Notamacropus eugenii: one gene and its partner. The protein of the gene in region 1 interacts with the protein of each later gene in a pairwise test. Links are inferred from orthologs where the notes say so. Each region holds a gene or a part of one and is shown on either strand. Other genes may lie near its edges. The genes, in order: FARS2 and RCBTB2.

Region 1 (15,939 bases):
GAATTGATGTGTGACATGGGAGAACACTGGCACAAAACTACCCAACACGGCATGCCCACATCAGAGAAGGTGCTATACTCTATAAGCAAAGCACAACAGAAACAGCTCAAAGGAAACCCAGGATGAGAAAACTTGGAGAATCCACCCCAAATGTTCACATGGACTATCTGTGCCTGACCTGTGGTAGAGCATTTTAAGCTTGTATTGTTCTGATCAGCCACAGCTGACAAATTAAAACCTGACTCTAGCATAGTCATGTCATTTTGGTCCTCTCTGAGAACAAAGGACAACAACCAACCAACTAACTAACCAACTTCATTTTCTACTTTCTGCCCATTACTATCTTTGACTTCATCAAGGGAGAAGGGCAGAATTGGTCAAATAGTTAGAGATTAAATAACTCCCACTACAATTAACTGTTTCAAACTTTTTTCATATTCCTTAAGTGTTGAATTTATCCTTCCCTCATCTCCCTACTCCCTGACCCTCAGCAGATGACCTTGCCTCTTACTATACTGAGATTAAAGCCACTTGATTGAAATACTCTGATTGTTCTTTCCCACCTATGGATCACACATTCTTCCCTGCTTCAATATTTCTCTCAACCTAACCTCTCTTCCTTGCCTCCTGACTCACTGGAAAAGGAGGACTTCCTTCTCTTCCCCCAACGCTAACACTACAGTCAATGTTCTTTACCCCATTCCTTTCATCATCCTCCAGAGCTTTGCTCTCTCTCTCTCTCTCTCCCTCTTGCATCATTAATCTTTCTCTCTTCATTGGCTCTTCTTTTTTTGCTTAACTGTCACTCAATCAATCAGTCAAAGCCAGGTACTATGCTAGGCTCTGGGGACTGGGAAAGATATAAAAAGAATGAATTCACACAAATACAAAAGTGGGCAGATACAAGGTACTTTGAGGGATGGAACACTAGTAGTTGATGGAGTCATGAAAAACTTCATACAGAAAGTGGTGCTTGAGTTGAGGTTTAAAGGAAAAATTATTTCATGAATGGGGTATACAGTCTCATAGGAAGACATCTCAGAAATGGTAAATGGAATGTCATGTAGAAGGGACAGAGGAATAGTAAGATCACAGAATGGAGAGAAAAATGTACAAAGAGCCTGGAAAGATAGGTTGGAGTCAGGTTATACCTAATACCCTAAAAAGCAAAACAAGCCTTCTCTAGATACTGCTGTCCTAGATTCATGGGTTGCCAGAGCTGGAAGAGTACTTACAAGTTCATTGAGTTGAGGATCATAGAGGTTAAAGAATTTGCCCAAGTTCACACAGATAGTGACAGAGCTGGGAAGGTAGCCTCTTTCATTTCACTGACAAAAATGTTTTCATTTTTCTCTACAAAAGACTTCCTATTAACTTTCCCACTCTTATGGAGGTTACCAAATATCCTTTCTATGACCAAGTTGATAACCTTAGAATCATCCTTGACTTTTCTTGATGCTTTATGCTACACATGCAATCGGTTGTCAAATACTGTACCTCTCCTACCACTCTCCTCTCCACTAGCTGGCATCTTCTCCTCACATATTGCTCTGGACTACTGCAAATATCTCCTAACTCTAATCTAATTCAATGTTCTTCCCTTTTTAATCCATCCCCCATATTGCTGCCAAAGGGAGATATTCTTTTTTCGCCCACTTAATAGCAGTTTATTGTTTTCCAATTACATGTAAAGATGGTATTCAACATTCACTTTTATAAGCTTTTGAGTTCTAACTTTTTTTCTCCCTGTTCTCTCCTCCCCTCCAAGATGGCAAGCAATCTGATAAAGGCTAAACATGTACAATCATATTAAACATGTTTCCACATTAATCATGTTGTGAAAGAATCACAACAAAAGGGAAAAACCACCAGAAAGAAAAAAGAAAAACAAACAAAAGAAAACAATGTGCTTCAATCTGCATTCAGACTCCACAGTTCTTTCTCTGAATTGGTTAGCATTTTCCATGAGTCTTTTGGAATTGTCTTAGAACTATATTGCCGAGAAGAACGAAGTCTTTCAAAGTTGGTCATCACACAAAGTTGCAGTTACTGTATACACTGTTTTTCTGATTCTACTCACTTCACTTAGCATCAGTTTATTAAGTCTTTCCAGGTTTTTCTGAAGTTGGCCTGCTCATCAATTCTTATAGCACAACAGTATTCCATTACATTCATATACCACAATTAGTTCATCCATTCCTCAACTGACGGACATCCCCTCAATTTCCAATTCTTTGCCACCACAGAAAATGCTGCTATAAATATTTTTGCATATGTAGGTCCTTTTCCTTTTTTGATGATCTTTTTGGGGATACAGACTTAGTTGTTGTATTGCTGGATCAAAAGGTATGCACATTTTTATAGCCCTTTGGGTAAAGTGAAGTACTCTTAAAGCTCAAGTTGGATCCTATCATTTTCCTGCTTCAAAAAGTACCTGCATTTCCCTCTTGCCGGGAGGATAAGTACAAACTCTTCTGGCACTTGACATACTTCACAATTGGTCTTCAGCCTACTGTTCCAGACTTATTCAAAGCGATTCCCTTTGACATACTTATGTTCCAGCCAAACTGGTTTATTCAGGGCTCCCTTTATATGGCATTCCATCTCCAGGCTTTGTACAGGCTGCCTCCTAGGCCTGGAATGAATCCCTTCTTCATCTTTGCTTCTTAGAATTCCTTAGCTTTGTTAGAGCACAATGGAAGGGCCATCTACTACATGTGGCCTTCTCTAATTCTTGATGTTAATGTTCTTCTACCATCTGAAAATATCTATCTATCTAGAATGGGGGAACATAGTAGGCACTTAATAAATGCTTATTAACTGAAGCTACAGAATTGGCCTAGAACAACTTGTTAGGACATATTAAATTCTTTTCTGTTTACATATCTACAATGAGCTGTGGTCAAATGTTAATTTGTTTAAAAATGAATTATCTTTACGCCTAAATTTGCTTCTCCTTACTTCATGGGGTGTGTGCGTGTGTGTGTGAGAGAATACCTCCAATGTCCTGATTACCTGTGTTTGAAATGAACCTCATCTCCAGTTTCTAATACATTAGCAATTCCTTTCCATTTTCTCTTTGCAGTACCCCTTGAACCTAACCTTTTTCTATTCATATTGCTACAACCCTAGTTCCAGTCTTCCCTGCCTAGAGTACTATCAGAACTTTCTAAAGAGTTTTCTTACCTTTACTCTTTTTATTCAATACATCCTTTAATTTGCTGCCCTACTAATTTTTTTTCCTGCATAAATCTGGTTGTGCCACACTTCTGCTAAAAAAAAACCTCAGGTGGCTCCCTAGTGCCTCTTAAGTGAAGTTCAAATTCTGCAGTGTAACAACAATGAAACTAGATAACTAGCTTTTGTACCGCACTTTAAGATTTGTAAAATGATTTCCCAATATTCTCACTTTTTTCTTTGTAGCCTTGGGAGGTAGATGCTATTATTATCCTCACTTTCCAAATGAAGAAACTGAGGCAGAGAGCGGTTAAGTGACTTACCTGGTGTCACATTACTAGTGTCTGAGGCTGAATTTGATTTCCTTTTTTGATGACTCAAGGTCTAGAATTCCATCTAACGTTTTCCCAAAGTAGGGTTTTTTGTTTTTTTGTTTTTGTTTTTGTTTTGGCAGAACTGGGATTCAAATTCAAATTTCTTTGCTCTAATTGTAGTGTTTTTTTATACTATACCATGAGGACTCTTGTGGCTAATAATTTTTACCCTAATCTGGGGAAGAATTCAAGTATAGTCTCTAACAATGTCTCAGTCTTCTTCCTATTACAAGTACAGAAAATACCGTTTCCTTGTAACCAGATGGATCTGAGTTAAGTTCTTAGAGGTCAGGAGCACAGACCAGGATGATTCTACCAATTTGCATGCAAGAGTGAGGTATGGGATGTTGGGGTAGGGCTTAGCACACAAGAGGAGGCAATAAGGTTTAGCACCCTCCATTCCAGTCATTCTTTCCTCTAAGATTGTTTTACTGCAGAGGGGTCAAACTCTTAGGGTCACCTGATGTCCTGCAAGATTCCCCAAGTGCTGCCAGAACTAGATCAAAATATAATTGGAAAATGTTTTAAAATATACAAAAATACTACATAATGGTAATTTGTGGCTTTTTATTAAATATGCAACCTGCAGGGATCCATTTCTATTTGAACTTGACACCATACTCCTATGATTTTGCTCATGCCATTTCCTATTACTGAAATATTATCCATGTCCCTCTTTGCCTACTGCATTCTTACTATCTTGAAAAGCCCACCTCAAATCCTACCTCCTCCACTGAGCCTTCAAAGATCTCTCCCAGTGGTAATGACCTTTTCATTGCACCTCAGAACACTGTGTTTTGCATTTGGTAATATACTTCTTGCACATCGCAGTTATCTGTGTTTTTGTATTATCCTTTTCCTAGACTGGAATTTCCTTAAGGGTATTCTCCAAGTCCTACAACAAATAAACCTGCATCTTTCCCTGACATGGTACACAGTAGGTATTTTAATGCTTTCTGAATGAATGAATGCTAGAAGTTACCTTTTACCTTTACACAATGCCTAAATCCTCACTACAACATTCTGCCCAGTGATCGTCCCCCTGCTGCTTGAACACTACCCGTCATAGAAGAACCCGCTACTTCCTGTGAGGGCCTACTTAATTTTTTGTCTAAAATGATTAGGAACCTTTTCTTTACACTAAACTGAAGTTTGCCATTATATCTATGCAATGAAATTACTTCTACCCTCTGGAACCACAAATTACAACCTTCAAAATGTCTGACAGTATCTATCATATCATCAGGTTAAATATCCCCAGTTACTTCAAATAATTTTCTATTAAGATGGTTGAGTCTCATCATCATCCTGGTATACCTATTTCTGTATGAGAGACAACTTAAGTTCTTTTCTAAGAGTTCAGTTCAGAGTTGAATACAATACTCCAAATGTGGTATGAATAGTCTGCTTCTCACTTCCCTCCACTTTTGTTAATGAAACTCTGAAGCACATTAGCTGGTTTGAAAGCTGAGATACCTGAATTTCTAGCATGTCAGAATCATATTACAGGGGGAAAAATCTCCCAAACCATATGGTAGCCAAAACTTGGACTAAGACAGAAAGCTCTATAACAAGTCACTTGGGAGACTACCTCCTCTCTCCCTAGGTGAAGTCCCACATGCAACAGGTTATGCATTAATTTCTTCCCAGGAGCTCTGAAAGCCTGAGCTTTGGCCAAGGGCACAGGAGACCAGAAGGGTCAAAGAGGAGGGGAACACAGTTCAGTCCCTTGCACCTTCCCTTCCTCCTCCTCCTCCTCTTTTTTTCCTCTTTCCTGTTACAATACTTATTTTTGGTTTTTTAAGCAAAATGTCCATCCCTCCTTTAAAGAGAAACTTGTCCTTCCGTTTACACCATTAAGAAGTGTCCCGCACACCTTATTACCGTAAATGACCTCCTGGAGTTGGAGAGCAAAGGAGGTGACACGTGCCCACCACTCTGCCAGTCTTGGGGGGGGGGTGCTAGCCATTACCACTCACTATTATTACTATGAATACGTATCACTAGAACCTCAGTAATCGTGCAGAGAGGGCTTTGTGTCGGCCCGGACCGTCTCCCAGCACACTCCCTGCTGAGGAGCAGCGCACGGCCGGGCCGGGGGGCCGCCTCCCCCCGCAGTTAGACAACCGTATTATCACAGGGTCGGCTTTCTCCGTCACCCCATGTGTTCTGCTTCACGCCTTCCAGAGCTTCGTTCCGGGAAGGGATCCACAGGCTTCACAGGACACAGACCAGCAGGACAGCCGCCTCGCACACCCAGCCCCAGCCCCCCAGGTCCCCGCTCCGGGTAGCCCTCCGGAGCCGGCGTGGGTTCGCGCTGCCCTCCCAGGGGCTGTGGGGGAAGCTGGACGCTCCCAGGCCGCGCGTGCCCCCTCCCCACCTCGGCCCCGGCCCGCCGAGGGTCACCTGTAATTGTAGGAGGTGAACTTGCCGCTCTCTCTCAGCATCACCCGGTACAGATCTAACACTTGTGCCCGACTGGAGGCTGCCATCTTGGGAGGGGGTGGGGCAGAAAACAAACCGGTCCTTTCCCCGGAGGCCCCGCCTGATCCGGAGGGGCGGACTCGAATAAAAACCGGGGCCGAGGAGGCGCGAGCTCCCCTCGGCTCCCGGGCAGGGCCCGCGGGCTGGGCCCGGAGCTCGACACTCCGCTCTCCCCGCTTCTCAGGCGCCAGCCAGGACCCTCCGAGGGCTCTAGAGCTCGAGAAGTTTTGGAAAAAGAAAACAGGCAGCTCCGCGGGCAGCTAAGCGGGGGAGGCGTGGGAGACCAGGAAAGTCAAAACATCGGCGGGCATTCGCAGGTCCCGCCGGGGGCTGGCGGGCAGTTCAGCTGGGAACAAGTTAGGACTGTTTGGCCGGGGCGCCTGCCCTCTCCCTCCGCACCACCCCCTGGTTCTTATTTGCTGTTTGGTCCATTTCAAGTGTACTGATGATGCAGGGCCAGAGAAAATAGGACCGAACCACGGGGTGCGGGGCTAGGGCCGCTGCTCCGTCTGCAGGGTTCAGGCAGGAGAGCAACGGCTTTTCCAGCTTCTAGAGCCGGGAAGAGGAGTTCAGACAGGATGGGTGTGTGTGGGGGTGTAGGAGGCAGAAGTAGGCCCAAGTAAAGTAGGAGGTGCATCACCTTGCTGCAGGCTTCCCTAACTCCTAGTCCCGTTTTCTTAGGTCTTTTCAGATCCCGTCCCTGGGTCTGAATCTGTAGTATGCCCCTGGTGGGACGCAGTTCCTATCACTGGGGTTGAAGATGAAATAGACAGTTCTAATCTCACTACCTGTAGGACATTTGGCAAGCCTGGAGAAAACTCAGAGCAGATAAGATTGATGTTTTCAAGTATCCGAAAGTCTGTCAGATGGAAAAGGGATTACACTTACTTTGTTTTGCCCTACAAGGCAGAATGAGGTGGAAAGCTGCAGAAAGAAAATTCAGAAAATCCCTCCTTCCCTTCCCTCCTCCTTTCCTTTTTTCCTTCGTTCCTTCCTTCTTTCCTTTCTCCTTCCCTTCTTACCTCCTTCCTTCTTCTCTTTCTTTCTTCTTTCCTCCCTACTTCCTTCCTCCCTCCCTCCCTTTCTTCCTCCCCCCTTCCTTTCTTCTTTCTTTCCTCCCTACTTCCTCCCTCCCTCCCCCTTCCTTTCCTCTTTCCTTCCTTCATAATGAGGATTATCCAAAGTGGAATGGTAGAACTCTCCTCTCATAGGAGAGCCTGAGCAATTTAGCGAGGTGGTTGCCTTTTCAGTGAGATTTGGATCTCAGAGACCCGCTCCTACTCAGAATCCTGAGTTATTTCATGTCTTTGGGCTTCAATTGCATCACTTATCAAATGATAGGGCTGACCTGAACGACCTCTTTCAACCATAGATCTATGCTCCTGTGACACTAAGGACCCGTTTTGAAACTTGCCAGTCAGTTGCAACAGGCTGGCCAACCTCACATGCTCCTCTAGTCTGTGGGCTTTTAGCTAGCTAAAGCATTGCCTGTAGTTTTAATACATTCCTACCCAAAGCTGATTGCTCTTTGAGAGTTCAGAGCAGAAAAATGAAGCTCAGGGAGTAGAATGCTGGCAGTACAGGGAGTTGAGGGGTGCCTGGTGAAGCTGCTAGGCGAAGGCTCCTTTATTTATGTTCAGGCACTTTTCAGGACGACTTGTTTAGCGGCTTTTCAGAAAGGCCCCGCGTGAGTTTCAAGATGGCGGCGCCCAGAGTACACGAGAATTAGTTCTTCAGTCACTTCAAGTCCCTTTCCTGAGAGCGAATCTGTGCCCGAATCTCCAGTTGTTGACATTTCCAGCGTCTCCGCAGTTCTGGCAGAGTAGTTGGTGAGTGCGGAGCCGACCTTCTGGAAATGTTGGTGCGGGTTACTAGCGGGAGCTTGAAGTGGGACCTGGACTTTTCTGACCAGGCATTCCCCAGCGTGTGTTGGCGCTTAGCTGAGGAGTCTTGTCGCGTTCGTTTTGTGGGGGAAGTATCAGCAGTAAGATTGGCTTGCAGAAATTCAGCGCCTTAAAAAAAAAGTCTTTATTTTGTAGTTCAGGGAGTCTACGGGAAATTCAGGAACGAGGCAAGAAGTGCGGACGAGCGTTTTCTTGAGGCATTTAGGATGGACAGACCCTCCAGAAATCGCGTGACGCACATTCCTGCCCCTCTTGTCTTTGACTAGTGCCGTGGTACTAGCTTTCGACGCTGGGACGAAATTCTGTCTTTTCCTCCCTCCTGGGAGGCTGGCAGTTTGCAGAGCACTTCACCTGATTTTCAGTGTTACAGGAGTGAAACGTCGCACGACCAAGACTCGGAGGACTGCTTTTATACTCCAGCGCAGGAGGATACTTGTCCTTTCCTTTGTGCTATTCCCCACTCTTCCCCTCTCAGAATCGCATATCGGACACTCTCGGTTTGCTTTTTGAAGACAGTGTTCATGATTGGTATGCATCTTCTGTGTACACTATAGGTATTTTACCTCTTTTTTAAATAATCGATCCGTGTTTTCTGCCATACTTGATCCTTCCCAGTGAATGCCTTTGCACAGTATGTCAGTCTGTGTGGGTTAAGTGCTATAGGTTTGGTGGAATTCTTCATGCAACTTCTCTGTATCAGAACAGATTTTAGCTCGTGAGCTGCATTGATTTTCATGGTGAATTTGTCACGTGCTCATGGTGGTTGCAATATAAGACTGAATGTCAGTTTTTAGAAATCTATAAAAATATTAACTGTGTTTATATAACTCAGGGTGTAATAGTGGGGGGGAGATAAGCATTTTAATAGTGCTTGTTACTGCAGTTGATCCTCACAACCATCCTGATAGCTGACTGCTATTATTATCACCATTCTATGATTGAGGAAATTGATGCTGAGAAAGGGCAAGTGACTTGCTTAGGTTCACAAGCTAGTAAGTGCCTGACCCCAGGCCTAACTATTTACTGCCTGTCTTTCTCTGTGTCTCTATCTCTCTCTCTTCAGTATTTGTATTTTAGATAAAGTGCTCATATAAATCTCATCATCATGAATTGAGAGGTGGTTTTCCCCATTTATTGCCCTCTCCCTGTCTACACAGTTTTTGGCATAAGTCCTGATAGCCAAATTACATATCCAGTACTTTCCTGTTTTGTAACCAACATGTTCTTATTATGTCCATAATGTTTGAAAGACGCTATGCTAGGCCCTGGAGATAGAAATACAAAATGAAAAGCAGTCCCTGACCTCAAGGAGTTTATATTGTTCTTGAGATACCACATTTAAACTCAACAAAATTGTAGATAGAAAAAATCTGAAATTACAAATTTACACAAATGCTTCAGATTGATGTGGAACTGACTCTCTTGAGTTGTTAAGAGCTAAGTCAGCAGAGTATAAGCTCTGGGGTCTTTTACTAGGTTGAAAACATTTTGAGTATTGTCCCAGGTAAAGATTAAATTTATTGTCCAGAAACCACCTATTTAATGGAGAAGTTCATCACTACTAGATTGACCAAAAAATTATTGAATTCTTTGGTCATATTAAAGTATGAATAAAAGACAAATAAAAAAATTCCCCTCATTCTACTTCCACAGTGACATACTGTTAGATCAACCAAACCACATCAATACTGATATTCTTTTAGTAGATGAATCCTGAATATAAAATTAAGTTAGTTGTAAATTGAAGGGGACCTCACAAGTTCTCCTTGGAGAGACAAATTAAGGAACTGATAGATTTATTTGATCAGCTACCCAAAAGCAGCATAAAAAATAATTTCATGGGACACTTGGTATATCTTGTCTTGTAGTTCATGATGAATTTTAGCAAAAAGATTCTATGAAAATAATAACTGACGTCTATCTATTGCAATTAGATTTGAAGGACACTTTACAATATCTTGTTTGATCCTTACGATGACCCTGTGAAGTAGTGACTATTTCCTCATTTTGTAAATGAAAAAACTGAGACATAGAGAGGTTAAATGAGCCTCTTTCCCTTCAGTACCATTTCACATGATGTTTCATTAGCTCCTATGGTTTCTATTATTATCTCTCTGCAGTTGCCTGTCAGATCTACTTGTTCCAATACTGTCTCTCCAAACCTCCAGTTTTACATCTCCAACTGCATTTGCCATCTTGAACTAGATATCTTGTAGACATTTTTAAGTATATCCTAAGCTGAACTCATTTTCTTTCCCCTCAAACCTTCTTCCTGATGTCTATTACTATTGATAGTATCACCATCCTTCCAGTTACCTAGGCTTGAAACCCAGGTGTCATCCTCAGCTCTCACTCCACATATGCTTTTAGTGTTCAAGTTTTGTTCTTTATATTATTTAAAAAATATTTCTCATATTCGCCCCCTTCTCTTCCGTGACCTTGCCACAATCCTGCTGCAGGCCCTCATCACTTCATGCATAGACTATTGCAATAGTTTGCTGGCTGGTCTCTCTGTCCTCCAGTAAATCCTCCACTCATCAAATCAATCTTTCTAAAGTGCAGATTTATGTCACTCTGCTAGTTAGGGAATGCCAGTGATTACCTCTAACCTCCAGGATAAATAAAAAGTCCTCTGGTTTTTAAAGCCCTTTATTGCTTGACCCTTTCCTACCTTTCTTCTTGTACCTAACTCTCCTCTATGTATTCTGATCTAGTGATACTGGTCTCCTTATTTCTTCTTGGCATTTTCTCTGGTTGTTCCCCAGTTCTCTCCCTCTTCCTCTCTACATTGCAGATTCAAATAAGGGCCTACCTTGTGCAGGAAGCCTTATCCATTCATCCTTAGTTTTAGCTCCTTCCCTCTGAGGTGGACCCTGTTCATCTTGTATATAATTTTGTTTGTGTGCATGTTGTCTTTCCCAATAGACTTTGAACTCCTTGAGTACATGGATAATTTTCAGCCTTTTTTGTATGCTCATTAATTACTTCATTTATTCCTGGAACATAGTAGACGTGTAATAAATGCTTATTGATTGATTGACTGACATGTGTCTGATCACTCAACTGGATAAAAATATGTCTGAATTCAAAGCCAAATTTCCTGTGACTCCAAATCCAGCGATCTTTATGCCTTTTCCACTAAGTGTAATAATGACAGTAATAAATAATAGCTAACATTTATATAGCACTTATTATGTTCCAGGCATTGTTACACCTTACAAATATTATCTCATTTAATCCTGAAAACAGCCCTGAGAGATAGATGCTGTTATTATCATCCCCATTTTACAGTTGAGGAAACTAAGGCAAACAGACATTAAGTGATTCAGCCAAAGTCCCATGGCTAGTAATTGTTTGAGGTTGGATTTGAAGTCATGTCTCTCAAGATTCCAGAACCAATATTCTATCCATTACATCACCTACTACTGGCAGCTGTTGCAGAGGATAAAGAATTAGAAGAAATTCTGTGAAGCACTTGACAAGTTCCAGACAAGTCAAAACACTCATTAATAGTTGATGACTTCATTATGAAAGTGGACACAGGAAGGAATGGTGAAATGTGTGTTAAAACATGGTTTAGGCTAAAGAAATGAAAGAAACCAAAGGCTTGTGGACTGCTTTGAAGCCTTACACTTGACCATCATGAATATGTCCTTCCAAAAGATGTGTTGGAAATCATAGCTAAATGCATCATCACAAAAATTAAATTTCCTGTATTTTAACAGACAGGAAGTCTTCTAATTCCTTGTACCTGGTATTCCCTCTGATTGGTTTTGTATGTGCAAATAATTAACTATCCTCTCTGAGTAGCACCTGCCTAAAACTAGTTTATTGCAATCAGATAAGATTTACCAAAAGCTTCATCTGACAGACATTTAATGATAAAATTATAGCATAGATTATTTATTTAGACATTTATTGATTCAGCAAATTAAGCTGTTAATATAAATGATAAATGCGAGAAGATCTTTGTCCTGAATGAGTTTATAATTATCTTGCACAGTGCTTTGCCATACATAAGGGTTTAATGTTTGTTGAATTGGGGATACTTAAGTATTATTATGTTGCATTGTAATTAGGCATTAATAGAAAGCAACTCTCATCATTAGCCATTGGCTGGCAACCAGGTGATGACGTTTTTTTCCTCCCTAGAGTAGCTTATAAAGATTATTTATTAAGGTAGGGAGAAGTTGTCAGTCTACTTGAATCAATAGATATCCCACATCAGTGAAACTATAGTTATGTTTCACTGATGAATTAAGCACAAAACCCAATAAACAATCAGACTGTAGTTCTGTCTCAGTGTGAAACTTTATTCTAAATTAGTTTTACTCAGTCCAGACAGATACTTAGTTTTTCTCTTTTTATTTGGTTAATTCAAATCTCTAGTCACCATCACTTCTGACAGTTTTAAGGGAAGCTATGTTTCCTGTAATATTTTACTGAGCTAAGTCTTGAAGGAAGCCAGGGAAGGCAGAAGTTGGAGGAGAGGATGGAGAGCATTCCAGGCATGGGACATTGTCAACGAAAAGGCAAGGCTTTGAGAAAGTTGAATGGGGTATGAGTAAAAGCAAGAAGGTAAGTGTCACTGAATGGTGAAGTATGTGGAGGGGAGTAAAGTGTAAGAAAATTGGAAAGATAGGAAGGGGACAAGTTGTGAATGGCTTTAAAAGCCAAACAAGATTTCATATTTGAGTCTGGAAGTAAGAGGGAGGAGTTGTGGTGAGATGGAGATATTGTTTGGGTGTGATTCAGGAAGACGAGTTCAGATCCAGCCTAGAACACTTCCTGACTATGTGGCGAGTCACATAACCTCTGTCTGCCTCAGTTTCCTTACCTGTAATGGGGAGCATAGCACCTACCTCACAAGGTTGTTGTGAAAAGATCAAATGAGATAGTATTTATAAAGCACTTAGCCCAGTGTTTGGCACATAGCAGTTGCTTAATAAGTACTTGTTCCTTTACCTTCTCCAATTGGAATTTGATATGTAGGGGAGTGTGATGTGGTCTTACCTTCCCTTTTTTGTCTGTTTTGAGACTATGTCTCCTTCTGTTTCCCAGCCTTGAGGTGCAGTGGCCACTTATGGGCATGATCCCACTGTTGATTAACACTGAAACTTTGACTCTTTCTGACCTAGACTTCATTTTCCACTCAGGGGCGCATTGTATTGGTGCTGGACAGAGTCAAGACACCCAGTTTGCTGAGCCCATTGTAGCTCAGAACTGATCCAGCAACCTCAGCATCCTCTGTAGCTGAGATTACAAATTTTGTATTTGAACCTGCAGCTAATAGGGAGCCACTAGAGTTTCTTTGAAGTGTGTGTGTGTGTGTATGTGTGTGTGTGTGTGTGTGTGTGTGTGTGTGATGTATTCAGACCTGCATTTTAAAAAGGTTACTTTGGCTGTCTAGTGGAGAATAGACTGGAGTAGGGAGAGGCTTGAGGCAGAGACTGGCTTGATGTCCATTGCCACAATTCTTATAAAAAAGATGATGAGAACCTGCTGTAGCATGTTCACTGTGGATGGAAAGAAGAGGACATTTAGGAGACATGTTGTGGAAGGAGAAACAAAAGTTGGCAACAGATTGAATATGTGAGGTTGAATGTAAGAAGTAGAGGATGACAGCAAGGTTACTAGCCTGGGAAGATGGTGGCAAGAGCTCCTGGAAGGTCCTTGTGCTTTTTTGTGTATCCCTAGAGCTCTGCACAGTTCGAGGCATGTAGGAGACACTTAGTAAATGTTTATTGATCGATACCTAGTGCCAGTAAATAGGCAGGTTAGGGAAAGGGGACTTTTTTTGGGAAAGATGATGAATTCAGTTTTGGACGTGTTGAGTTTGAGATACAGGACAATCTGTTTAAGGTGTCCACTGATTGAGATGTTGGTGATTCAAGACGATGTCAGGAGAGAGGTTAGGGCTGAATAAATATCTTAGAATCATTTGTATAGAGGTAGTAAGTGATAGAACTAGGATTTGAATTCAGTTTCCCAATATCAAGTTTTTCCCTGGTACCAATAGCCTTCTTAAAGACAACACTTTGATTATGTGTTCCAGTTATGGTGAAAGCTCTGTTTGGCTGATCAAATGCAGAATGTAGGCTAGCTAACAAATTTTCAAATTATATTTTCAGAAAAATTTAGCTATTAACTATTGGTTAATGGTTGTTTAATAATTGCTCTATTGATTCCAAGTACTACTGAGTTGTAGTATTATTCCTCGGAATTGCAAAGTTTGTTAATTTTTATAAATCCATTAGTTGTTCAGTTTTTTCAGTTGTCTGACTCCTCAGTGATTCCATTTGGGTTTTTCTTGGCAAAGATACTGGAGTGATTATACCACTTCCTCTCTATCTTGTTTTATAGATGAGGAAACTGAGGCAAACAGGGTTAATTGACTTGCCTTGGGTCACACAGCTAATAAGTGTCAGAGGCCAGAGTTAAACTCAGGAAGAGTTTTCCCCACTCCTGGCCCAGCACCCTATACACTGTGTCACCTAGCTGCCCTTAATCTATTAGTATAATAGACCTTTAAGTCAAAGATGGTCTGTGAGTACTTCCTGCTTTTAAAAGGCATGTTACCCTAAGAGCAGTGGATTATTATGTAAATAATAAGCTGTCTAACCTGCTATTCACTGACTTTAAGCTGCCTGCCAAAACAATCTATAAAAATGCTTGTGTAGAATGAAGAGTGCTCATTATGATGTAATGAAGAAATAATTCTCTTCACATAATTAATGAATGGTTCTAAGTCTTTTGTGCATATTCTTTGTTTCTATTTCTCTTTTTTTGTTTTCTTTTCTAGGGCTATCTTTTCCATTTATGGTTGCTCCTATATGCCTTTCTGAGTTGGAAAGTTGATATAATTCAAATAAGACCTTGAATTTGACCTATTGTAGTCAGTTTGGGAGCGCAGTTAAATTTTAGACTTGGAGCCATGTTTATGTCTTGAATGCTGTGTATTCCTTGTGTAGCTATAAAGCATTTAAATGACCTTTGTAGCATTTTATTGGGTAACTTGGTTATATTTCAGCATCTATACTTGAATTCTAATTTAGTCATATTTTTAATGGAGTTCTCTCTTATTTGCACAGCTTTTGTAAATGAGTGTTGTATCGTTTTTATTGGATAACTTAGTTTTATTTCATGCATGTGTGTTTGAATTTTAATGTAATAGGTCACATTTTTAGTAGAATTTTCTTATTTGCAAAGCTAACTAGTATATATAAATAATGTTGATACACGGTATAAATATTCAGAGATTCTGAAATGTTGATTTTACTGTAACTTTTAGTCTTTTAAGCGACATTTACATTTCTCCCTATTAGCATCTCTTTGATAAGACTTAGTGATAACCAGTTTAATAGGTCTTTTTTAGTTATCTGTTCATATAGATGAATAATTTCCTCTTGGGAGGGCTCTTCTGAGGCTCATTAGCAGCTCTGTATAAGCACTTTCCGAAAACACTTAATTAAAATCTGTTTTGAGGGTCTTAGAAAGTCATAACAGATTGCTAATAGAGACTCCAACTTCATTGATCCCTTGTCCTAGTATCTTAGAGTTCCCTTAGCTGTAGGCAGACATCCTGAAATGATGACTAAGTCGACAGTTGATTTCATAAAATATACTACCTCTTAGCAAGAGGTTTTCCTTTTGCTTCATTTAAGATAAAATAAATCTTTTCCTCCCTCTCCCTGACACACAGTAAGATAGATTTAACTAAATATGAATATTTATTTTAGTATAATGTTCAGTAATGGAATTCTGCCTTTTTCTCTTGCCAGTTATAAAAGATGACCATTTTGGAGCAATTTTTTGGTTGCCTGGTTTTGGTTGTATATTTAGAATAAAAAAATTAGTATATTGGTAGAGAAAATGAGTTGGAATCATTCTGAAAATATTAGAAGTTCTGAGGAAAGTTACTGTTATGTAAGTTTTTAATAAATTTGGGATATAAATCACAAAATCAGTGTCATAGAATTTTAGTTTTGTAATGAAATGTG
Region 2 (15,806 bases), on another chromosome or scaffold:
TACACAGTGGGCCAGAGAAATAGGTAACATACTATGAAGAAAGAATTGCGGGAGGTTCAGCTTAAAGGATATGTAGAAAGATGTATGGAAAAGGAGGCAATGTAGTGAAAATGAGGAATGAACAGCTTGTATTATTCACATAATATCAAGAGACCAATAGGAAGGTCTCTAATACGTTGAGCATCCTCTCCATCCTTATCTGTGAGAGTTATAGGACACAGGATAAGTTATGGATGGGTTGTACTCTATAAAATACATACAAAATTACACTTGGATTTGTGGAGCTCCTTTTTACTTCAGCATTGGCAGTGGTAAAAAGAGGCTGGAGCTAAGAATCAATGTTCAGACTTTCTACAAACGAGATAGCATAGGTTAAGGCACTGTGAAAAACCTTAAAGTACTACGTAAATGCTATCATTGTTATGATAATTTAACATTGATACTTTCAGTGTATGAATTTTGTCCAGTGAGCCTGAGTTGTCACTACCGAAAAACCCTAATTCTATCTACATTGACATCTTTGTGGTTTCCATTTTGCTGTGACTTATTAATGTCTTTCGCAGGGAGAAGACAATCAAAGAGCTGATACGAGACTATTTCATCATGCAGTCAAAGGTAACAAGAAACATAACTTCATGAGGCCTTTTGGTTATTTTGCCTTAATGTAATCAGAAAGAGAAGCAACACAAATGATCGTAAAGAAAACTGCAGCTTACGTAGTACCAACATCCGTTGCAGAGCATCAAGTAGAGGAAACTGTTTAAAAACTTCATTGTGAAGGTAAGTACAAAAGCAAAATATATATATATATATGTATATGTATATGTATATGTATATGTATGTATGTATGTATGTATGTATGTATGTATAGTTCAGGATGAAGGCATTTAAGAGGTCAAGGTTCTGAATTATCTAGAAGATTCCATCTATTATAATTAAGGGTGTCCCAAAAGTCTTACTGAAGTTTCAAGCCACAGTGTTTGAAAATTGCTGACACTTTTGGAACACTGTGTTAAGAGTAAACTTTTAATAGAGACTAAATAAGAAAAATTGAATTTTAAGAATGTAGTAATATAATAGAACTCGATTTACTATAACTGATGGTTCCACATATGGATGGGGTGGTGGTGGCTGGTGGAGCATGTGTATTTTCTTGTGTTGTTAGACCAAAATTAGTACAGGCATTAGAGAATAATCCATACTTGGTTGCATCTCAGCTTCAGAGGCTGCATTGAGTGCACAATCATCTGCAAACAGAAAAGCATGCACCAACACTCCCTCCATTTTAGTTGCGGCATGTAGTCTTTTCAAATTGAAAAATTTACCATCAGTATGGTAGCTGACCTCGATGCCATGTTCATCCTCACTGAAATCATTTGACAACATGGACAAAAGCATCATGCTAAAAAGAAAAAAAAGCATGAAAGCATGCACACAGCCTTGTTTCACTCCACTGGTGACTGGGAAGGCACAAGAGCATTGTCTATTAACTAAAACCTGGGCAAGTATGCTGTCATAAAATTGACATACAATACTGATGAACTTCTCCAGGCAACTAAATTTTGACATAATTTTCCATAAGCCCTCACAATTAACAGTATCAAAGGCCTTAGTCAGATCTACAAAGATTGTGTACAGACCTCTGTTTTCCTCCTGGAGTTGTCAGGCAGCAAACATCATATCAACTGTTGCTTGGCCCTTTCTGAAGCCACACTGGCTCTCAAGTAGATGACCATCTTCCAGGTGAAGGATTAGTCTATTAAGGAGGACTCTGGCAAGAATCTTGCCAGCAATGACTAAGAGAGAGACCCTATTGTGATTGTCGCAGGACAATCTATTTCCTTTACCTTTACTGAGATGGACAATGGAGGCATCCTTGAACTCTTGGGGGATATAACCTGGAAAATTTCAGTCAGCTTTTATATGAGCAATTGACCCCCGCCTTGCAAATCTCAGCTGGAAAAGAGTCAGCACCAGGTGCTTTACCACATGAAAGGAACCTAATGGCATTCAAAACCTCTTCTTCAGTTGGAGGTTCATCTAGGGAGGGATTGACTTCAATCTGAGATAAATGGTCATTGGCCTCAGCATTGATTAATGATGGTCTGTGGAGAACACTATGGAAATGTTCAGCCCATCTTTCTAGGATCATGTCCTTATCACTAATCAACGTGGTTCCATCAGCACTGAGTAGCTGTGAAGCATCATAGGTTTTCAGTCCATAAATAGCTTTCAGGGAATCACAAAAGCACTTTGGATTGCTACTATCGGAATAAGACTGAATTTCATCTGCCTTCTTACTAAGCCAGGAATCCTGCATCTCTCTAAGCTTTGCTTTTACTTTACTTTTAATGGAATTAAATGCTGTCTTCTTAAAGACGGACGAACTATCCTGCTGGTAAATCCTGTGGAGTTCTCGTTTTTCATTTAGTAGCTTCTGAATTTTCACATCATTTTCATCAAACCAGTCTTGGTGTTTGTGAATGTTCTGACCCAGATGAGCAAATGCAGTGCTGTACAATTGGTTACAGTAAATGGAGAAGTTTTGAAAGCTGTGGTTAAGTTCACTTACCTTGGCAGTATACTTTCTAGGGATGTACACGTTGAAAATGAGGTTGACACATGCATTGCCAGAGCTAGCTCAGTGTCTGGAAGGTTCCTAAGGAAAGTATGGGAGAGAAGAGGTATTAAGACTGACTATCAAACTGAAGATCTACAGAGCTGTTGTGCTGACCTCATTGTTGTATGCCTGTGAAGCCTGGTCTACCAGAACCATGCCAGGAAACTGAACTGCTTCCATTTGAATTGTCTTAGGAAGATTCTGAAGATCACCTGGCAGGATAAGGTAGACACTGAAACCTTGCTCAAACTAAATGGCCAAGCACGCAAACTACGCTTCAGAGAGGGCAACTCTGATGGGCTGACCACGTTGTTTGAATGCAAAATGTATGCTTGCTGAAAAGACTATTTTATGAAGAACTCACACAGGGCAAATGATCATGTAGTGGTCAAAAGAAGCGATACAAGGACACTCTCAAGAACTTTGGAACTGATTGTGTGACATGGGAGACACTGGCACAGGACCGCTTAGCACAGAGTGCCCACATCAGAGAATGTGCTGTGCTCTATGAGCAAAGCAGAACTGAAACAGCTCAAAGGAAATGCAGGATGTGCAACTTTAGAGTAGCCACCTCAAAGGTTCACAAAGCCACAGATTGTGCCCAATCTGTGGTAGGGGATTCTGAGCTTGTATTAGTCTGATCAGCTACACTCAGACACATTGAAACGTGATTTTATCATAGTGATGTCATTTTGGTCCTCTTGGAGAACGAAGGACAACAGACCAGTATGACAGAACTATCTGTATCAAGTAAGTACTGCTTTATGACATCTCTCTTACTGTCTTAAAATGGTAGTAAGGCATAATACTACTACTATTACTAATTAACATTTTACATAGTACTTTAAGATTGCAAAGCCATTTAGAAACATTTTCATCATTTATTCTCACAACAGTCTTAGAAAGTAGGTGCTATTATTATCCCATTTTACAGATAAGGAAAATGAAGTAGGCAGGGGTTGACTTGCCCAGGGTCAAGAAGCTAATGTCTAGGCAGGATATGAATTTAGGTCTTTTTCACTCCAGGTCCAACGTTATATACTCTTCATCACTTAGCTGTCCCCATGGAAAGAACACTGGACTAGCAATCAGGAAACCTGATCAGCTGATTGACCTACACAAATCAGTTAACTTCTCTGTACCTCAGTTTCGTTATCTGTATTGGATGATTTGTGAAATCCCTTCCTACTCTATTACAAAGAGCAGCAAGCAATGGAAATAAAAATAGCATCTTAATAAAATTTGCCAAATGCCTCATTTTAATGGAGATTTTTAAAGTAAAAATAGTTTACACTCATTGCTTTAAAGTATGCAAAGTGCTATGTGTGCCTTATTACCCTTAAACCATTATTTTCAAGCAGAATAAAATGACAATGATCCATTACTTTTATTTGCATTATGTAAATAAAATAAACTGTATTTGTTTACATTATAAAAATGTATATGGCTAGTTAAATTTACAACGTTTGGCATTAATCATATGGCTACCTGTAGAATGAGGTCATTTCTTTTAAGGCATCCTTTTGTTGCATGAGACATTTACCCTGCTAGAAAATATTTCATTACCACTGTCAAAATGTGCCTCTCTTCCAGGTCACTACTGCTACCTGGTAGTGCTACATACACATACTAAGTTTCCTATGTAGTTGGTGTTTGTTGTGTAAGGAGAACACAGAAAAGTCTAACAAGGTCCCGAATATGAAAGGTTATGAAAATGCTTTAAATTTTAAAACATTTTTATTTATTTTTATTGAAAAATCCCAGGATTTTTGTTTTAGATCCCTATCCTGTTCAGTTGTTTTTCAGTTGCAAAGTATCCTTATTTCTCCTACAAAGTGGGGTGTGTGTGTGTGTATGTGTGTGTGTGTGTGTGTGTGTGTGTGTGTGTGTGTGTGTGTATTCATTCAGCAATCATCAAGTGCCTTCTGGATACAAAAGACTCAGGCATTTCAGAATATACAGTTTAGATAAGCAAAAGGAATTTATCAAATACCATTGTTCAAGGACCTGAGCTTAACACTGAGAATACAAGAAAAATGAAAGTTTTTGCCCTCCAGGAGCTGTCTCTTGGAAGGAGACATATGTGTGTGTGTGTGTACACATATATACATGTATACTTACACACACAAATGCAAGATAAATGTTTTGGGAAGAAAGGTCTTAGGCAGCTGTGGGAATGAGGAAGCCTCATGCAGAAGATGGTACTTAAGCATAGTTCTGAAGAAAACAAGAAATTCTAAGAGGGATAAGTGAGGAAGGATGACCAGAATAAGAGCTCAAGGCTGAAGAGGGCAAGATAAGGTTTTAACTGACAGGAGTATGAGAAGTATTCATGGAAGAGCTGGCATTTGAACTACAGTTTAAAGGATGTGTAGGAATTCAATATATGAAAAGAGATGATATTTACAGAACTCTAGGATTTAGAATCAGAAGGGACCTCATCTAGTCCAATCCAGTCATTTTACAGATAAGGAAACCTAAAAACCAGAAAGGGGAAATGACTTGTGAGTAAGCAGCTCAGCTAGAATTAAAATGTAGGTTCTGACCCCAAACCCAGTGCTCCAACATGCCACACTTCCTTTCCAGGCATAGGGAACAATACAAAAGCATGGAGATAGGACACAGGCAAGCATTTTCCAGGAATAAAGTAGTCTAGGAGTTCACAGAGTTTGTAGAGGGGAATGTTTTGAGATAAGGACTGAAAGGGTAAGGAGGTCAAAATGTGAAGGGTCTTGAATACCAGGCAAAAGAGTTTGAACTAAATTCTGAAAGAGGAACAGTAGGAACACAAAAATCTTTCAACACAGATGGTCTAGAACAAAAGCTGGAAAAGAATTTATGTTAACCTCCATGGGGGGAGGGGAGGAGAGAGAGAGAGAGAGAGAGAGAGAGAGAGAGAGAGAGAGAGAGAGAGAGAGAGAGGACAGTTGATTGAAACTAGTGTGAGGAAAGATGGCCAATAGTGGGATTGACATATGAGAGGTATAAATGCAATGAAAAGGGAAGTGGACTTGGAATCAAAGGACCTGAGTTTGAATTCCAACCAGTTACTTACTGCTGAGAAATCTTGTGGAAGTCAGACTTCTCTGGCCCCAGTTTGCTTATATTTAAAAAGTGGGGGCTAGACTAGATAACTTCCAAAAACTTTATCAGTTATAAATCCCTGACTAACTAATTTATCCTGGTAACTCAGTCTTGGTCGAGTGGTTTATAATCCAAATTCACATAAGCCAGATTTGTGCTACAAAGTCAAATAATTAATCATGATAACTCCTGTGTGGGGTAATGGAGTTGGACTTGCAGTCAGAGAGACCTGGATTTGAGTCCTTCCTCTGGACCTGTGACCCTGAGGAAGTCACTTTACCTACCAGTGTCCTAGGAAACTCTAGAGCTAAGATTTAAGTTTCAGAGCACGTGCTCTGAAATCTAACACATGTATATGTAGCTACTATGAAGGACATGGAAGGGGGTAACATATGTTATATATTACCCCAGTACAGTGCCTCTTTAAAAAGTAGAGGCTCACTTACACTTTTAGCGTAGTTCTGAAAGTTGCTGCAGGCCTGTTAGGTGTGTAGAGATACATCTAAAGCATTGGAGGACTGGAAGGAACAGGAAAAGCTTGAAAAAACAAAAGGCCAGAAACTTTGGTACTGTAGCCTCATAATTCCATTCTTTTACAAGAAATCCTCTTATACCAGTGAAATCACAGCTGGTTTAAAAAAAAATCCTTCCTAATTTAGGCATAGGGGTGGGAGTGAGTTGTGGTACAAGGACCCAAGCAGTAAAATCAAGGATAGAAGATACAAAGTATAATAAACTTCAAACTCCTAAACAATTACCATTTAAAGGTTTAAACCTGCCCAAACTGGGCTGTTATCAGTGAGATAGCCTTCTTCTTACCATTGCTAGGGATACAATATCAAAGTTTTTGAGTTTTCCTTTTAAAGTCTTCATTTATTCCTTCCAGTTTCTCGATTGTTTCAGGAACTTTGGAAGTAACTCTGCTTACTACACACCTAACACTTAATGACTATGTAACAACTTTCCAAACTAAGCTCAAAGTTTCAGCGGGCCTCTCCTGTTATGGCAATGTACCGTGCTGTGCTAAAATGTAAACTGTGTTCTCTCCTCTCCCCCGTGGTAACAATGTATATATTCATAAACAGACTGCTCGAGAGTTCATTTGGGGATTTCTGGGCACAGAGACTGGCCATTTCCTTCTCCAGCTCATTTTACAGAGGAGGAAACTGAGGCAAACAGGGTGAAGTGACTTGCCCAGGGTCACTCAGAAGAGAAGTCTTCCTGACCCCGGACCTAGAGGATTGCAGTCTCAATTCTCTGGCTTGTCTTCTGACCTTGGGCTACGGTTCTTTCAATCCTATCTAAACCCCCCCGCCACACGTCCACTTCATAGAACAAAGCATTTTACAAATTCTTATTAAGAATTTAATGACTAGCGGCAGTAGTAACGCCTAACACTAACAAGGTCCAAGGCGCACACTGCCGGCCCTGGCAGTGCCCAGCTCTTCCCCCGAGGCCCGGCACGGTGGACGCGGGCTGGCTGGGCGCTCCGGCCCCGCGGGGGGAGGCAAGGCCGGCGGCAAGGACCGCGGTTCTGAGAGGAAGAAGAGGGCGCCAGCGATCCCGACGAGGGGAGGAGAGGAGGCGGGAAGGAGTCTGGGGAAAGTCCTCCAGCTCCCCCGCGCCCCCCCCGCCCCTGGACGGCGGATGTGGACTCAGACCTCCGAGGACCGACACTTTCCTACGGCGGGGTGGGGGCCTCGGGGCACTCGGACCAATCGCGGGGCAGGCCCCTTTCTCTCCCGAGCCCGGGCCGAGAAGCGGCCGAGGGGGAGGGGCCAGGGGAGGGGGAGGGGAGAGGAGAGGCGGGGGTGGGGAGGCTTCTCGGCCGTCGCGGCAGGAGGCCCGTCCCCCCTCCCCTCCGCGGGAATCCGAGGCGCCCCTCCCGCCGGGAGCCGGGGCAAGTTCAAGGGGAGGCGCCAACTCCGGGCAGAACGGGACGCGTCTCGGGCACCGGGAAGGTAGGAGAGGCGCGGGGGTGGGGCGGGCGTGGAGGCTGATGAGGGCTCCTTTACGGAAGGGGGGGCTGCCCCTACCCTCTACCCTTCCCTCGGGGACGCGGGCCCAGCTCCCGCCGACCTGAGGCAGCGGTGGCGGCATCGCAGAGAAGGACGGGACGCTCCGCCGCGACCGCCCTGGCCCCGTGTCTCCCGCCTGGTCCACACTAAAAGCGGCCAGGCGGGCAGGGAATCGTTCCCGCCGGCGTGCACGTGCCCGCTCGCGGGAGGGGGCGCGCGCGCACGCGCGTCACTGCGGTGCCAATCGCCCTGAAGCTCCAGGGACCGGGATGAGGGCGGGGCGGGGAGGGACGTGGGGGCGGACGCCGGGAATCTCCTTGATCTTCCACCGCTTCCCCAGAGGGGCGGGGCCTGGGCTGATCTGGGACGGGATTGGCTTACGGGCCTTCTTAACGTCTAAGAAGAGGGAGATTGACGTGGGTTCCGCCCCTCCCCCGCCTACCTTCTACCCACCCCCTGCCATGTCCCTATGTTTTCCTTTCGCCAACCTCCAGCTCTGTTCAAGTTCAGGTCAGTGCCTGCGTTTCCCCCTCCCCCCGCAGCATTTCTCCTCCACCCCCACCCCGCCTCCCCTCCTTGTTTGCACGTCGTCTGCTAAGAACTTGTACCCTCGTGCTGTCTTTGCTGTTTGCTGCGCTTTTGAAATACTTCTGCCTTTGGTCCTGGCATCCCTTGACATTAGGGAAATAGTACCAGCAAGCTAGGAAAAGCTGGTTTGGAAGTACGCGGAGATAAAACCTAATTTCTTCTCTCAGACTGAGAAAGAATGTAAAATGTTTTCTGATATTCCCCTCAGCCCTGGAAGTGTGGAACTGCAAAGCTGCAAACTTTCCCATGGCCTGGCCACTTTTAGGAATGGGTGCAGTAAATGATTGAACTGTGGCTTTTGTTGTAGCAAAATTTCATTAAAAGTTAGAATGCTATTCCAGTTGGAATGCAATTTTGAAACTATGAACTATTTTGGAACAACACTGTAATGCAAAGTTAACTTTAGTAATAGAGAAGATTTTTTTCTTAAAACTCCAATTTTATTACATATAATTTTACATGTAATATTATAAAAGGTACATTACACTTTTATTACATGTAGTTTTATTACACCTCTTAATTATTATACTTTGTCAGAGCAGAATAATGTATGTAAGTGTTAATTATTTGTTTTATAGAGTGCCTCTCATATTAGGTCAGTGGTACAGCGGAATACCCTTTACTTTATTCTGAGTAGGGTAGAGAACGGTATAGAATGGCATATGTTGGAATGGTATAATTCAATTCCACTCTATATAGTACAATGTAGTATAATATTCTAATACAGAAGTTAAGCTTCTTGAGAAGGAATGAAAGTTACATGCATGCGTCCCTAGTTGTAAAGTCTTGAGTTTCAGCTATGTGATGTCAGTTTCGTAGGTGGCAATGTGTAAGTGCCCTCCGAACATTTGTGAAAACATTTGAAGTAAAAATGTTTTGTGAAACATTTGAAGTGAAAATGTTTAAAGTAATAATTTAAGCTTAACATCCCAAGGGAAAAAGAAAAGATTTTGCACATTGGGAGGAAGATGTGAACTGAAGTTACTGAGCAACATGGGAAGTGGTTTTTAAAACTAAATGCCCTGCCTTGTAATTCATGGAAAATGTTCTCATGCTTCAATAATTTTTTCCTGGAGGGGGATGGAAGCTCAGAGAAGGGCTTAACCAGGCATACTGTAGCCACTGTCACTGCCATCCATAGCATGGAGTTTCAGGTACTAGAGCTCATGCCATTTAGGGTTTAATAATTCAGCTGTGGCTCATACTGGAAAGGACCAGATAACCAGTTAATTAATTGGTAACAACACAACGGTTTACCATTTCCTTCTCCAGCTCATTTTATAGGTAAGGAAACTGAGGCTAACAGGGTTAAGTGACTTGCTCAGAGTCACACAGCTGGTAAGTGCCTAAGACTGGATTTGAACTCAGGAGGATAGTCTTCCTATTTCCAAGCCCAGTCCTCTATCCACTGCACCACTTGATAACTACTAAATAGTAATTGTTTCTTTTTTACCCAGGAACGCTGAGGGTCTTCCCCTCCCAGGTAGATTTTTTTTTTTAATTAAAGGGGCCATCCCTTAAGTTAACTAATTTTTTTTTTTATTAAAGGGGCCATCCCTTAAGTTAACTAATTTTTTTTTTTTAATTAAAGAGGCCATCCCTTAAATACTTAAAGAAGCCTATTCATTAAATGGGTGTATCTCACTCAAAGTGAGAATGTGATAAGACCTTAACCTGCATCCTGGGCTACGTCCAGTCATCCTGATGAATATCAGGCCTCTCGACCCAGATGGTTTAGGAGAAGAAGGTGAGGTTGGTGAACTTGCACAGCTCTCCCTCACTCAAATCAAAATCAGGTACAAGTCATGTCATCATCTTGATGTCATGTTCCTCTTCGAGAATGAAGGATAAGCACAACAACAATTACAGAGCACAGGGGTGGCATATTTGAAAAGAAAAAAGAGCACACAGCATCTGGAGTCAAATGGACCTGGGTTCAGGTCTCAGGCTTTACCACTTAAGACTAGTATGACCTTTGAAAGTCACTTAACCTCCCATAGACTCAGTTTCTTCATTTGAAAAAATGAGTGGGTTAGACTAGATTACCTCTAGAGTCTCTTCCAGTTTTAAATCTCCAATCCTGTATAAGTTCTCAGAATAAACTATTAGAAACAAGTTGCTAAACTTTTAAAAGTATATTTTGGATATTAGAAAGGCTTGGATGATTGGTGAGATTTATATATAAGAGGGAGAAAAACTGCATTTGATTTGAAATTCAGTAGAGAAAGAACTGATCATTACTTGGCTTGATATTGGTGTTTTACTGAAATTTGTAAATTTCATTTAATAAGCTCTCTTAGTCTCATCTTTACATAGAACCAGAGAAGTTGTGTACCAAGTCTCATTAAATCCTTAATTAAGAATGCTTAGATTGGAAGATTCTAATAGAATGAAAAATTGGGGCAGTAAATTGTATTTGTCGCATCATTAGGGCTTCTCAAATGTCAAAAACCTATTAGTCTATAGTAATCAGATTAGAAGACATGAACCTTTTTGTTTACATCCCTCAGGATATCATGGTCTTTTGCTTTTACTTCATCACTTGTCTAAAAGTAAATTAAAATGGCCCCAGAGATATTGTTTAAAAAATAAACACCAGGTTTTACTGGAGTTTCATGATTACAAATCATAAAATGATCCAGGAAAGGGGAGATTTGACACCAGGAAGGGAGTTAGCAAAGTTGCTGACATCAAGGGTTAGTTTTAGAGGCTGAAAATAGACTGCCACATGAGATTGCCTTCAGAAGAGTAGTTATCTTGCCATTTTTGCAAGAGAGATTCAGTTTCCTTTACTGTAAGACTGCCATGATCCTGTTAGCATTCATTAGTCAGAGAGAGCAGGTGTCTAGTTCACATGGCTAAGCCTGTCCCATTAATGTGAAAATCTGTGTCCAGGAGATTGAGAGTATAATAGTATTTTTCTGTGTTAATTCAGTGTTGGGATATATCTCTAACATGTCTTTAATCTTACTATTCTGACCTAAAGGGTCATCTTACGAGAACATCTTATGGAAGATGTTTGATGGTAAAAAAAATCCTAGTGCTTAGTATTTGAGAAAGAAGTCTAGGTTGTGATTATATTATAACACTGTATTTATGCATACACAAATATGTCATATTGAAATAAATAGATTTTATATTTCACTAATCTAATGAATATGAGCAAAAGCTACCCTGCATATAGCAGGTGCTCAGTCAGTATTTAGCGATGAATTAATATGTGTTATTCAGCAAAGATCTGTATCATTTGAGAACATTACTAATATTGTAAATATTAATGCTGTCCTGGCTGAAGTTAGGTGTCCCAGTCAGTATTCCCTAAACACAAAGGAGATTTGAAAAAGGAAAGACCTCCAGACCTGGGGGCATGTGGTTCCTGTTAGGGGAATCACTGTCTGAGCACGGTCAGACAGGTTGTTTTGTGGACTAAACAATCCCAGCACCCTGGAGAGGTACTGAGATTCCATGAAGCCCTTGTTCTACTATGACTGACAGGCTAGAAGCCAACTATGCCAGTCTTCCCCAGGGAATAAATCATTTTGCTGCTGCCCTTTGGCAAATCTCAGCCTGGTATCTGAGTTATCCCATAGGAGCCTCTACTATCTCAGAAAGGTATGCGAATCCCTCCCAACCTTGGTGTATCAGTTATTTCTCTCCCCAAGATTACAATGAGATAGAGGTGAACTGGTGTTAACTTTACTCTTTCTGTTTATTGTCTGTAGCTAATGGGATACATTCCCTGGAAGAGAATCATGTTGCCCATCTGGCATCCGGACAGTCAGGAGATTCCAAAACGCATTGGACTTTCTGGCAGCCCTCCCCTCATTCCAATGAAGGATGACTCTTCCTGTTGTTGGTTAAAATCTTAACACCTCCTCTACTCCTCATTTGCTTGTCTTAGTTCCCAGAGGTTACACTCTCCCCTGGCTTTCCCCTACCTTATCACAATCTCGAGCTGTTCTGAATATCTTGCTTATATAGTTTATCTCTGAAGGCCAACTTTGACTTTCTCATCTCACTAGAGGCTGCCAAAGGTTATTAAGTCTGCTTTTCTCACTACATTCAGTTTTTCTCTTGAACAGAGTGCCTTGTCATAGATTGCCCTTCTTTCTGGAGGGGGACTTACCTATTAGGTTATTGTTGCACCCTTTCCCTGGATCCTACAATATTTCTGTTTTCCTTATACTTAGAACTCCTCTCCAAATTCTGTATCTTCTGAAAGGACTTGGGAGATTTCAAAATAGAACTCACATTCTATGTTCTTTCAGGCTGGTTGAGTGTTTTAAAGTTTGGTTGCATATCATCTCATTTTCTTTTAGGGACAGAGACTGGATCTGTGATTTCATTGGCATAGGGAACTTGAAAGGGAAGAAATTCGCTCAGTTGGTGTGTGAGCACTTTCTGTGCAACTTTATAGTCTTGTAGAATTGCCAGGATCACTGAGAAGGTCAGTGATTTGCCTAAGGTCACATAATCAAAGAATCTGAGGATGGTATTGCTGATGGTTTTATGTCTATGTCAGGAAAGACTGTATAATTAATTAGTAGTCTTGTTCGTGCTGCATAACTTGAAAGGCAACATAGTGTAATACATTCATGTCAAACTCAAGTAGAAACAGGGGCTATTAAAACATAAGGATCTCTGCAGACTGCTTTCAAGATTCCTTCAAGCTCAACTCCCACCATATGCAGGATTCCCCATTATCTTCCACTGCTAGTCCCCTCCCTGTAAGATTATCTTCCACATATACCATATATATCCTGTATGTACATGGTGGCGTGTTTTCTCTTCATTGTAATGTGAGGTCCCTGACACCATGTTTTTGCTTCCCTTTGTATCCCTGGTACTTAGCATAGTGCCTAGTACTAAAAGATTAAGTGACTTGCCTAGGCTCTCTTTTAAAACTTAGTTTTAAAATGCAACATTGTATTTATTGTATTTTTATTTATTTTATTAAGCATTTCCCAGTTACATTTTCATTTGGTTTGGCCCTAACTCAGGAGTGTTCGACACCTTTGTTATAGTAGAGTGCTGGATTTGTAGTGCAGAAAACCTGGGTTCAAAACCTGGTTCAATCCACTCATTGCTAACTGAGTAACCTTAATTCTCTGAGCCTTAGCTCACTTCTCGGGAAAATGGGCATAATAATAGCATCTCTTCCTACACTTGAGAGACAGCGTGCCCTAGTGAAGCTGGTCTTAAAGCCAGGCAGATCTTGATTCAAGTCTCACCACTGACCCTTTCTGGGTGTGAGAGCCTAGGCAAGTCACTTAACTTTTAGTGCTAGGCATTGTGCTAAGTACTAGGGATACAAAGAAAAGCAAAAACATGGTGTCAGGGACCTCACATTATAACGGAGAGACAGCATGCCGCCATGTACATACAAGATATACATAGTATAGATGGAAGATAATCTTACAGGGAAAGGACTAGCAGTGGAAGAGAATGGGGAATCCTGCATATGGTGGGAGTTGAGCCTGAAGGAATCTTGAAGTCAGCCAGGGAAGCTAGAAGTCATAGGTAAAGAAGGACAGTGTTACAGGCATAAGGGCAAATGTATTGAGTCAAAAGATGGAATGTCCTGGGTGATAAAGAGCAGCAACGAGACCATTGTCTCAGCTCCAACCATACAGCTTCTACTACTTGGATCATTGCCTCTACCTCCTCCCAAATGGTAACCTGGACTCCACTCCTCCCTAGGTCCCTGTGCTCTCCTAACTCAGCTTTTGCCTTAGCCTTCAGGGACCCAGGCCTCCACTCCACTTCTCTGCCCACTCCTCAACCCCTCCTCACCCCTTTTTTTGCTTTACATGTGGCCTGGCCTGGCCTGGCCTTTTTTCCAGGCCTCTTTCCCCCTTCCCCACCCTGTTAAAAATCTGTCAATTTATCTATGCCTACCTATCAATCTTAGGATATTTGGATGGGAGTGAAATGTAAGACCACAAAGGCAGGAAGGAACCAGGTTGTGAAGGGCTTTAAGTAAGAAAAAAAGGATTTTTTTATATTTGATCCTGGAGGTAACAGGATGCCTCTGAAATGTATTGTGTGTGGGAGGCACGGGAAGGTGATTTGGTTAGACCTTCGTTTTAGAAAATCACTTTGATACCTGAATCAATGATGGATTAGTGTGTGGAGAGACTTGACAGTGAGAAAATCAGAAGGCTATTGCAATAGTCCAGGTGAGAGGTGATGAGGGCCTGTACCAGGTGATGGCTGTGTGAGAGAGGTAAAACTGACAAGAATTGATAGTAGATTGAATATGTGGGGTGAGTGCAAGTGGGGAGTTGAGGATGACACTGAGGTTGTGGCCCTGCTTGACTGGAGTAATGGTGGTGCCATCAATAGTAATAGGAAAGTTGAGAAGGAGAGTTTTAGGAGAAAGATTATGAATTCTGTTTTGGATATGTTGAGTTTGAAATGCTTAGGGGACATCCAGTTTGAAATTTCCAAGAGGACATTAGTGATAATGAGAGTGGAGCCCAGGAGGGAGATCAAGGTTAGATATATAGATATGGGAATCATTTGTATAGCAGTGAGAGTTGAATCGAGGAGAGCCAATGGAATTGCCAAGAGAGGTAATCTAGAAGTAAAAGAGAAGTCCCAGGGCCCAGGCTTGGGGAATACCTGCTCCTAGTGGTTATGACTTGAAAGAATACCTGCAAAGGAAATTGAGAAGGAATTGTCAGAGTGGTAAGAGGAGAACCAGGAAAGAGCAGGACCATGAAAATCTAAAGAAGGGGGAGTATCAGGGAGGAGAAGTAATTGACAGTGAGAGAGACTGCAGAGAAGTCAAGAAGGATGACGATCAAGAAAAAGAAAAGCCCCTTAGATTTGGCAATTACGAGATCAGCAGTTACTTGGAAGAGGGCAGTTTCAGTGGAATGACAAGGTTGGAAGACATTGCAAAGGATATAGAGGAAGATGGAGGAGAGTGGAAGCACCTATTGTAGAAGGTCTTCTCAAGGGGTTTTAGACTTGAAGAGGAGAAGAGATATATAATGATAATGGGTTTGGCTGACCCAGTGAGATGTTTTTGTTTTTAGTTTTTCTCAGGATGAGGGAGCATGGGCATGTTGGTAGGCAGCTGGGAAGGATCCAGTTGGTAGGGAAAGATTAAATATGTGTGAGAGGTGGGGAAGGAGAGACAAGGAGGGAAGGAGATAGAGGGAAAGAGAAGGAGAAAGAAAAGGAAAAGGAGAACAAAGGAGGAGAGAAAAAGAGAGAGACAGAGAAAACGGTAGAGAGTGGTATCAAGAGTGAAGGTATTGACTTTGACAAGGAGAGTAGTCATCTTTTTATGCAAGACAAAACACCCAAGGTCTTGTACCACCTCATTCCCACCTGTTTTTGCCACTTTAAGCTCACACTATGCTTCCTGTGCTTTATATATTCTAGATTCCTGCCAAACTGGTCTTTTTTTTTTTTTTTTTTTGTTCTGCTTTCTCCTCTCTCTGTGACTTTGCAGTATAGCATAGCAGAATAAGCTCTGGATTTAG

The links.
Region 2: the proteins of FARS2 (region 1) and RCBTB2 interact in binary tests that used the Homo sapiens proteins (3 or more experiments, as listed by UniProt). The two-hybrid records come from large-scale screens. The link is inferred for Notamacropus eugenii from reciprocal best matches to the Homo sapiens genes FARS2 and RCBTB2.

The regions. Positions count from the first base shown.
Region 1 is NC_092875.1:175,230,701-175,246,639, forward strand, and holds the start of FARS2 (phenylalanine--tRNA ligase, mitochondrial), read left to right. Parts: upstream 1-7,533; 5' UTR 7,534-7,864; intron 7,865-7,893; exon of another isoform or gene 7,894-8,467; intron 8,468-15,939. Other genes in the region: LYRM4 (LYR motif-containing protein 4), read right to left, coding at 5,958-6,043. UniProt on the Homo sapiens protein: Is responsible for the charging of tRNA(Phe) with phenylalanine in mitochondrial translation.
Region 2 is NC_092876.1:107,952,362-107,968,167, forward strand, and holds the start of RCBTB2 (RCC1 and BTB domain-containing protein 2), read left to right. Parts: upstream 1-7,612; 5' UTR 7,613-7,665; intron 7,666-7,783; exon of another isoform or gene 7,784-7,936; intron 7,937-8,120; exon of another isoform or gene 8,121-8,232; intron 8,233-15,806.